2 linked regions of the Drosophila melanogaster genome follow. The protein of the gene in region 2 purifies or fractionates together with the protein of the main gene of each other region. This does not show direct contact. Each region holds a gene or a part of one and is shown on either strand. Other genes may lie near its edges.

Region 1 (4,214 bases), on a different chromosome or scaffold from region 2:
GCTTGCAGTTGATATCCGTCTTAAGGACACGCTTTCCCAATGTGGCAATTGGGTACTCGGGTCATGAGCTGGGAGTGATCATTAGCCAGGCCGCCGTCTTGCTGGGAGCACGCATAGTGGAGCGCCACTTTACGCTGGACAAGAGTCAGAAGGGCTCCGATCATCGCTGCTCCCTAGAGCCGCAAGAATTAAAAGCTCTGACTACAGCCATCACCAACTTCAAACTCTCTTCAGTTCCCATGCCTCCACAAGAAATAGTTAAAAAGTTAAATGGAGATGAGGAACTAGAGGCAGCTCTTCAGCACGTTGAGTCTAAAACCATTTTGCCGTGCGAGCTGCCCTGCCGAAATAAACTGGGCAAATCTATTGTGGCAGCTAGGAATCTCAATAAGGGTTACAGGTTGCAATTGGCAGATATGGCCATTAAAGTCAGTGAACCCAGCGGCCTGACAGCGGAGGATTTCTTGGACTTGGTAGGCAAGGAATTGGCAGACAATATTGGTGAGGATGAACCCATACTTGGGAATAGTATAATCAATTGAATCATGGGTTGGGAATTTAAATACACTTGTAAATGAATAGCTTGGTCTGTATTACTCGGCGCCATCGTCGCTGCCCTCTTCTTCGTTCTCATTCTCGATCATGTCGATGTCCTCCTCGAGGTCGCCCTCCTTCTTGTCCGTTGGCTTCTCGTAGACAGCGGTCAGCGGGGAAATGCACACGCCGTTCCAGACGGACATTTCGCGCACAACGCTGGTGTTGCCCTCCAGTCCCAAAATGTGTTTGTATCCGCCGTGGGCCAGCACGCGCAGTAGTGTCTGCGATGTGTAGCAGCACACATCCTGCTGCTCCAATGTCATGGCAGTGTGCACACGGATGTGTCCCGGCTCGGTGGGATCCGTGATGCCGGCCGAGCCCGGCAGGAAGAGCCCGGCGGAGAGTAGCTGAAAGACGCGACGGAAGGCCAGGTTGATGGGCAGTGCCTGTCGCGACGGGTTGTTCATGATGGCCAAATGGGCGATCAGGTCCAGCATCCAGGCCGACAGCGGCGAAAAAGCGTCGAAACGCCTAGTGAGATCCTTGAGAATGCGAATGAGCACCTTTATCGAGGAGTGGTGGGCATTTTCCTCAAACCAGCGCGTGTGCCGAATGGCAGCCAGATGGCTCTGCATCAGTTTGTGATCCAAATGGATCTCAGGCTCCAGCTTGCGAAGATTCTGCGGCAAGGTGGCGATCAGAATGCGCACCTTGGCATGCACGTTGGCGATGTCGAAGCCCCGCTCATGGATCTGTACGGTGTGCTGATCGCCCTTGGTCAGAACTTCAGTCTTCATGCTGGCCTTCAGGTCGGCCTCCACTTTTTTGGCCAGCGCATCGACGGCCTCCTTGGTGGGCAGGGTTTTGAGGATAACCACCACATCGGCTACATTGTTGCCCGTCAGTATGGTGCCCTTCTTGAAGGAGCCAACCTGACGCACTTCCTCCAGTTGCTGTGGAATAATCAGAACAGTTTAAACATGCAAATCACAAGGAGTTGTGTAATGTACTCACACAAGTTGTCAGATCCCCGGGTGCAACCACCAGATTGTCGAGAACAGCCTGCACCTTGGTCACTAGATTGCCAATAGCCGTCTGCTCGCTGGGAGTGGGACTCAGGTCCTGGTTACGCTTCAGCAGCGCCTGAAATGCAATTGTTTTCCCATTGCAGACACCTTGGATACGCAAGTAATTTATTGATTTACCGCAGTCAAAGCAGAATCGTCAACGGCGCCGGCGGATGGAACTTTGGGAAAGAAGACCTCCGCGAGGGTCAGATCGAAGGGGTGGCGCGGCACGAATGTCTTTTTGAACGGCGGACGTATGCCGCCGCGCATGGGGCGGCCACCTCGGAGAGCTCCGCGAACCATATTCCTGTGGGGATGAATTTTTAATAATTTTCGCAACGCCGGAGCGTTCTGTTTTTTTTAACAGATAGGTAAACAGTGTGACCGAAGCTGGACCGGTAAGGAAACGACATCAAAGATGGGCTAAGCGCGTTTTCAAAGTATACCGCATAAAATATTTTTAGAGGGCAAACATTTTGAACATTTAAACATTTTACTACATTAGAATGCATAAATTGATTGAATTAAAATACGGAGACTGGTGTTTTTAATCTGCATAATTTTGTAGTTGTAGCTAGTGCAACAAGGTTTCTATCAGTTCCAGGAAAACGCTTTGTTTACAAGCAAAGTGCTGATTTTTATGTTGATGGTCTTACCCTTTTGTTGTACAAAATTCCGGTGCTAAAATCGGATTAAAAGCGCATGAAGTTATTCGTAAGTAGTTGAAAATCGCACTAGAGATGAATCCTAATGTTTATAGTTTTCAGAACTATGGATCTGGCGAACGTAGATCAACGCCCCGTGAAGGACGAACCACCTCAAGAAGACACTTTCGAAGAAGAATTAATCTTCATTTCTAACAGCGACTTCGAAGAGCTTGAAAGCGAAATAAAGATTGAGAACTTCTGTAGTTATGGCAAAGATTTGGAGCCAGTTAAAGGCGTCCCGTCGAAGCTGAAGACGTGTAAATCCAAAATAGCAAAGAAGCGCCCCTTGCGAAAGCAAACAGATACGTTTAAGTGTACCCAATGCCAAAAGACGTTTACAAGAAAGGAAAACCTCGAATCACACTTGCGACTTCACGCAGAAGAACGTCCGTTCGAGTGTTCCCACTGCTCCAAGAGCTTTGGACGCAGGACGCATTACAAGCGACACTTGCTCAAACACGAAAAGCGACCTCATAAGTGTTCCCACTGCTCAAAAACCTTTACCCAGAATTCATCGCTTAAACAACATCTGCATGAGCACACAGGAGAGCGCCCCTTTAAGTGTACCCAGTGCTCGACGTCGTTCGCGCGAAAATCTCATCTTCAGGTACACTTACGTACGCATAGTGAAGAACGACCCTTTGAGTGTACCCATTGCGAAAAGGCATTTAAAAACAATTCACATCTCCAGGAACACTTGCGAACGCATCAGGAGGCACGGCCCTTTAAGTGTTCCCACTGCTCAAAGAGTTTTAAGCTAAGATCAATTCTACAAAAGCACTTGCTGACGCACGCCGAACGATCCTTTAAGTGTACCCAGTGCCCGAAGACTTTTCTGCAGAATGATAGTTTGCAAATTCATTTGCGAGTGCACGCGGGCGAAGACCCGTTCAAGTGTCCCCATTGCTCAGAGACCTTTGCAAGGAATTCGAGACTTCAACTACACTTACTTGAGCACGCTGGAAAAGAGCCCCTGAAGTGTTCCCAGTGCTCAGCCACCTTTGCCATGAGGTCACTTTATCGAGTCCACGTGCGTTTGCATACAAGAGAGCGACAGTACAAGTGCGCCGAATGCTCGAAATCTTTCTTCAAGAAGTCACATCTTGTGGAGCATCAGCAAGTGCATACGGGAGAGCGGCCCTTTAAGTGTACCCACTGTTTCAAGGACTTCAAATGTCGTACGCATCTTCGGGTGCATATGCTTGATCATATTGGAGAAAAGGTACCCAAGTGTTCCTACTGCTCGAAGGAGTTTAAACTAAGCTCGCAACTGCTGGTGCACCTGCAAGAGCATACTGGAAAAAACCAATTCGAGTGTCCCCACTGCTCGAAGTCCTATACAACTAGCTCGACTCTTCACATGCATTTGCGAACGCACACGGGAGAATTGCCCTTCAAGTGTTCGCACTGCTCAAAATTGTTTGCGAGAAGCGCAGAACACCAGGAACACTTGCGAACGCATACGGGGGAAAAACCCTACAAGTGTTCACACTGCTCAACCCGATACACACAAAAGTCCAGTCTTGGGCGACACCTGCGGCGAACCCTATGCGGCACTAAATCGGATTAAAACCAATTAGTTTAGAATTAACTTAGAAATAATGTAATAAGAAGTAAAGTAGGCGAAAATAAATAAATGAGTTTAAATATTTTTTTAAGTTTAGAAATCGGTAGTGTGCCCATTTGTTTAGTCCCCCTGATCGACCTGTACCATATTTGGCATTCAGCATTCGGTCACACTGCCGCCCAATTGCTGTGTCATTTTTGTTTCTGTGCGAAATAAGTCGGCTTTTTCATTTTACACATCAAATCACTGCATTTGCGGCCCAGGAAATATGGCTACCGAACGATACAGCTTTTCGTTGACCACGTTCAGGTGAGAGCATCGCTATAGCCGGAGCGG
Region 2 (5,815 bases):
AGAATGGACCGCTGCTCCAGCGGTTGCAGCTGAAAACCAGCAAGGAGTACGTGTGGAGCAAGCGCGAGAGCACGCCGGCGGGTTCCTCGTTAATTGAGCTTGTGGAACATGGGATAGCACGCATCAAGTACGCCTCGGAGACCACGGCGGCGCTAATTGCGGAACTGAAACAACTCTCCACCGCTGGACAGTGCAAAGTAATGGTGGCCATTGATGGCTTCAATGCCTTCTTCCATCCGGTTACTCGCATTTTCTCCGACAACAAGCAGCTCGTGACTCCGGATCGGGTCACGCTCACACAGCCCTTCCTCGACATCACCAACTACGACTGGACAAACGGAGTATGCATCCTGTCCGTGGACAAGATCGCAATGACTGAGGGCCACATGGACTCCTATATGCCGCGCTATCTGCTCGGCAAGGAGGGCTTCGAGCATCTAGATCCGTTTGTGCCCATCCATGTGGAAAACTACACGGACAAGGAATTCCACAGCTACATCAGCTACTATCTCGACCGACACTGGATCAACAAGACGCCGCAGGGATTCGAGGAGCAGCTCAAGTTCATGAGCAACAAGAACCCCTACTCGCTGATGCAGCTCGTGAAGGCCTTGTAGAGAGCGAGTGTCCTGTATTTGTTAGCCAATAAAGTTAAATGATTTGTTATTTACCACAACGATGCGGTTTGCTTGCTGTACGCTCACGACTCAATTTGTAATAATGAGTCTGGGAAATTCAAATTGGAAATTTATTTAACGATAATCAGCAATACATAATGATGCACAGTACTTTCGTACGTTTACATATATGTGTATGGGGTTTACATGCAGTGTGTTCAATGTTCAAAATCAATACAAATAGGGCTGTGTTCAAGTTTCGTGTGTCTTGTGGCTGTAGAAGCATCGTCAACAAGGTCTAGATCTAGGCCTAGTCCGTGCGGATCTGCTGGCTGCACTCTCTCTTTATTTAAGACTATATCTTAGGTTCCGTTCCGATGTGGGTGTGAATGAACAAAATAATAACTAGGCTGCAATTAACATTTGTCGTCATATTCGTATGTATATTTGCATAATTTCTATTACAATTTTAGTTGCTTTTAACAACAATAACAATTATGTATGTATGTATGTGTTTGCATATTTTCTCTGATCGTATGTGGTTTGCTATGTCCGTTGCATTTGCATTATCGTAGGCGAAATCGGTCTCCTGCTCCGATCTGTGTTTTAGATTCTCGTTTGCGTTTCTAATGTTCATTTGGTTTAAACTTTACGGCTTTAGGTGAATATGCTGATGTTTTGAATATGCGTACGCGCGTATGATCGTGTGGTGTTGCATATGCACTATGTGTTATAAATCATACCGCTTGTATATACTTGTTATATATATTATTCATGATCGTTTGCAGTTGCTTTTTCTGTCCTGGCGACGTAACAAATAAAAATAAGAAGCCTCCTCTTCTAAACGTAAACATAATACAAAACGCATTACAACAAAAAATGGGATAAACTTAAACGCAGAGTTGGAAAAGCAATAGAGTTAAAGCGACTGCGAGAAGGATACGTATGATAGTAAGCATAAGGAGATATATATATTCATTTATATAAATTACAAAGTGATGAAATCTTCGCACGCGTCAGTGGTAAAATTAAAATGTTAATAATATGCGACAAAACAAAACAAGGACATTTGGCTCGACTGGGACCAACCTTGAATGCGTCCATTCGATTCGGCCCGATCCAACATCGAGGCGTTCTCCACCTCCTCCTCGTTCTTCTTCTTCAATTCTTCTCTTCCAAATGCTCGCAGGGCCCAACACACGGATTCCAAAGTCTTAGATCGCAGACCCTCGTGATCCTTCGAACCCAATCCTCGAGAAGAGGTTGCGTGCGTGTGGGGTGGTGGGTGTTTGTCTGGTCGGTTAGTTTTGGTTTTGGTTGGGTGGCTGAGGTGTTCGTCTGTTCCTCGGAGCATTTGTCTACTTAGGCTAGTTTTCTTAAACATAGATTTACTCATTCGTTTCGTTTTGGTTTCCACCCTGCCGAAATCTTGATGAAATCAATGCATGACAAGTTTCCAATGTTCTCATAGTTACTACATCTACCTTTGGAGCTGTGTGTGGTTGTGGGTGTTTGGATGGGTATGACAGATGGGCGTGAATACTTCCGGATGAGGCATCAATGATGGTGAGGAATAGTTGAACAAACAGCGAACGGCAGCGGGCGGTGCATCCTCCCATCTGTATTATTTCTTGACAAACTGGTAGGGGGCAGCGGGACGGTAACGCATGTTAGGCGGCACAGCGCCACCGATGCCACCGCCAGTGGTGGCCACGATGCTATTGGCCATGATTCCGCCACCGCCGGCATTACCCAGTCCGGCATTTCGGCCATTGAAGCTGGCCGCACTGACGACCATTCCGGGCGGTGAGGCTCGCACAATTGCTTGCGGTGGCAAGGTGGTGTGCATGGCATTGCCCCGTTGGGCGGCTGCAAAAGCGAACATAGAATCTATGGTCTATGGACCAGGAGAGCCCAGACTTACCTGGCACATAGGGTTTTGGCTGGTGGTACGCATTGTTGTGTGAGCGAAAATAGACAGTCTCCTCGTTGTGGCGATAGTGTGATTGTTGCTGAAACTTTTGTCTGTAAGAAACATGGGAGTTTAGCTAGACTCGAGGCTCGTAGAGGACATTGAACTGCAACCCACCTGTAGTTGCCGCCGGAGCGCTGGTTCCCATTGCCATTATTGCTGCCGGATCCAGCTGCGCCGCCATTTCCGTTTCCGCCTCCACCACCGCCTCCTCCTCCTGCACCACTAGCTGCCGCATTCGACTGCTGTTGCAGCTGGCGAAGCGTCAGCTTCTTGGCCGCCTCCGGATCCTCCATGAGTTCGCGGTACTGCTCTTGGCGGATGTCATCGTGCTTGTCCGGCGTGAGGTACCGCCGAATCTCGGCCAGGGCATACGCCACCCGAGCGTACGCCTCGGCGGGCGGAGCAATGGTGGACACCTCGACGTGCAGAGGAAGATTCAGGTGGGCGTACTTCGCGTCCGCGGAGTTGCGCAGCTCCTCCTCACGTGCGCGATCCTTCATTGAGAAGCGACCAAGTATGACGATCTTGCACTGCGTCTCCTCCTGCAGGCGACGCAGTGAGTTGCCCTTGGGCCCCAGTAGCTTGCCCACATAGTTGAACTTCTTGTCCTTGATGGGCACGTGCACTTTTTGGGACAGCTTGATGGTGCGCTGCTGGTAGACATCGGCGTACTGGTCTCTCGTGGGAATGCGTCCGTTTAGCTGCACACGCTCCAGAGCTGCAAAAACAGAGGGAAATCAAAGTAATTACCATGAAGTGCCCCTGACAAATCAATTTACCTTCGTCAATTAGCTTCACCGCCAGGGGGAAGTGGTTTTCCATGCGCGATCGCTCCGTCATGAGCTCCTGCATGTACTTCTGGACCGCCGGCGCCGGCTGGGCCTTCTCGCCGTCTGCGTTGGCGTTGTGTTCGTTCTCATGCTCCCCGTTGCTCGTCCCGCCGCTGACGCCGGTGGGCACCACTCCTGTCCCGGCCCCCGCAGTTCCCGCTGCTGATCCACCGCCGACTCCCGTCGCAGTGGAAGCCACCGCAGAGGCCACCGCGGATGACCCTGGCACGCGCAGTCCGTTCTCCGCCATTTGTCGTCCTGCCTTCGGGATCGCTGTCGCTCTATCGTCCTGCTAAGTCGCCGAGTCTCGGATTTTCCGTGCGCAGATTGCGGGCGATCGCTTTTGCTGTCGATTCGGTATGATTGCTAACTTAGCACACTTCAGCCTTCCCAATGGCCCTAATTTTTCTCTCTTTTTCCAAGTGTGTATTTTATTCGGACATTTACTATGTCAGCGGCTCGGTCCGGCAACTCCGGTCTCTCGGGCTGTCTCTCGTGCTTCTGCAGCGTGCTGTTCGCTGCCAATCGACGGTGCTGTTAAGGGCGCATAGTTGTTATCGGCTTGCAGACACTATCTAACGCTATATATTAACATAGATGCGTCGTCAGGTGCATGGCAATAATTTATAATATGCACTTAGTGATTTTTAAATTACAAATATAATTTAAATGCTCTCTTTGTTATGGGAAAGTTTTTAATAAAATTGATAAGTCATAAACTACTAATGCACATGATGGCGGGTTGTTATCGGCAGTAACCGATAATACGCTATCGAATCGGTGATGCCGATTTACCTATCGATGTCCTACCACATACATATTTTTTCAGCCAACTAATTCTGCAATAGTAGAATTTTGTATTCAAGAGTAGGAGTTTTAAAATTCACGAATCCTCCAGGCCAGAAATCCTACAAAACGCAATGCCGCGCGACTACGACAGAGACTACAACGAGGACGCCGCCGACTACAAGCGGAAGCGACGCGACGAGGAGCCAGCGGCTACCGGTGCTCCAGAGACCCCTGAGGCGGATGGCGGCGGACACACCACCAGCCACGCCGCCCTGCGGGACACGCCCCAGCTGAATGAGAAGACCAACGCGTATCTGCAGGAGTGCCTGCTGGAAAAGAAGACGCTCGAGAAGAAGCACATCATCACCAAGCGCTTACTTGACGACGGTGAGTTAGGCGCTGCGACATGTAAGCTATAGTGGATCTAATTGCAATTTTTCATGGCCCCGCAGAGGTGGAGAAGATCTTGGTCAGCGGACGCATACCAAAGCCCGAGATATATGCCAACGTGTACAGCGAAAAGCCCATCCGCGTGGCCCAGAAAGTCTTGTTCCCCATCAAGGAGTACCCCAAGTTCAATTTCGTTGGCAAGATCCTGGGGCCCAAGGGCAACACACTGCGGCAGCTGCAGGAAGAGACTATGTGCAAAATGGTGGTTATGGGGCGCAACTCGATGCGCGACCACGGTAAGGAGGAGGAGCTTCGCAGCTCCGGAAATCCAAAGTACGCCCATCTCAGCCGCGATTTGCACGTGGAGATATCCACGGTGGCCCCTCCAGCGGAGGCCTATCACAGGATCAGCTATGCGCTAGGCGAGATCCGCAAGTTTATGATACCCGACGCCAACGACGACATTCGGTTGGAGCAACTACGCGAGATGGATGGCAAGGAGCGCATGTACAAGAAGTCTCACCACTATTCCAAATCCTATGGCGATCATGGCGCCTACAGTTCCCGGTAGGCTTGTCAATTTTCGTTGAATTTTAATTGGTTACTAAGGAATTCCTTTCGTCACAGCACCCCGCCCCCTGCTTCTTCAAAGCCCAAAGTCTATTCGATTCTGGAGAAGGCTCGATATGTGATGGACGATCCCAACTATGGGATCGTAAAGACGCACAGGTTAGCTAAGTTCAATCGCGTTAATGATGCCTTTAGAAGTTAAATTCTTATGCTTTCAATAGCGTGCATCTGTGTTATCAACCATTGTTAGAAAACCCTCCTTTAATCCCTTACTTTTTCAACAGATCACGGGACCACGAGCTATATGACCACCATGGAGAATATGATCGCTATGCCACACCGCCGCCCCAAACATCAAAGCACTCGACCCACCACGCCCAGTATGACAGTAGCTCCTACGAGCGCGACTATCGGCGTGAGTATCACCCCCACTCGTCCTCCTCTTCCTACGCGGCGGCCTATCCAGGTAAGATACCTAGATTTCTAGACCAATAATCTCTTCCCCTCAGCAGGCATGTAAAAATAAACAAAATGAAGAAAAGAAAAAGAATACGACAAATAGCAATGTAAACGTTTAAACTTAACTCGCGCAAATCAAAACAAAAAAAAAACTCGAAAACAAAACAAAATCTATCCAACTAAGC

The links.
Region 1: the proteins of qkr58E-2 (region 2) and CG5641 purify together in Drosophila melanogaster (affinity purification with mass spectrometry, with the first as the bait; one large-scale study listed by BioGRID). This does not show direct contact.

Annotation. Positions count from the first base shown.
Region 1 is NT_033777.3:12,427,295-12,431,508, forward strand, and holds CG5641 (uncharacterized protein), read right to left. Parts: upstream 1,989-4,214; 5' UTR 1,908-1,988; coding exon 1,743-1,907; intron 1,681-1,742; coding exon 1,552-1,680; intron 1,491-1,551; coding exon 594-1,490; 3' UTR 543-593; downstream 1-542. Other genes in the region: NANS (N-acetylneuraminic acid synthase), read left to right, coding at 1-542; CG5245 (uncharacterized protein), read left to right, coding at 2,376-3,881; Prosalpha2 (proteasome alpha2 subunit), read left to right, coding at 4,147-4,187. UniProt on the Drosophila melanogaster protein: May regulate transcription of undefined genes.
Region 2 is NT_033778.4:22,413,923-22,419,737, reverse strand, and holds qkr58E-2 (quaking related 58E-2), read right to left. Parts: upstream 3,930-5,815; 5' UTR 3,673-3,929; coding exon 3,372-3,672; exon of another isoform or gene 3,311-3,371; coding exon 2,707-3,310; intron 2,643-2,706; coding exon 2,542-2,642; intron 2,487-2,541; coding exon 2,242-2,486; 3' UTR 2,102-2,241; intron 2,046-2,101; exon of another isoform or gene 2,036-2,045; 3' UTR 737-2,035; downstream 1-736. Other genes in the region: mRpS29 (mitochondrial ribosomal protein S29), read left to right, coding at 1-617; qkr58E-1 (quaking related 58E-1), read left to right, coding at 4,343-4,598, 4,664-5,168, 5,229-5,330, 5,456-5,637.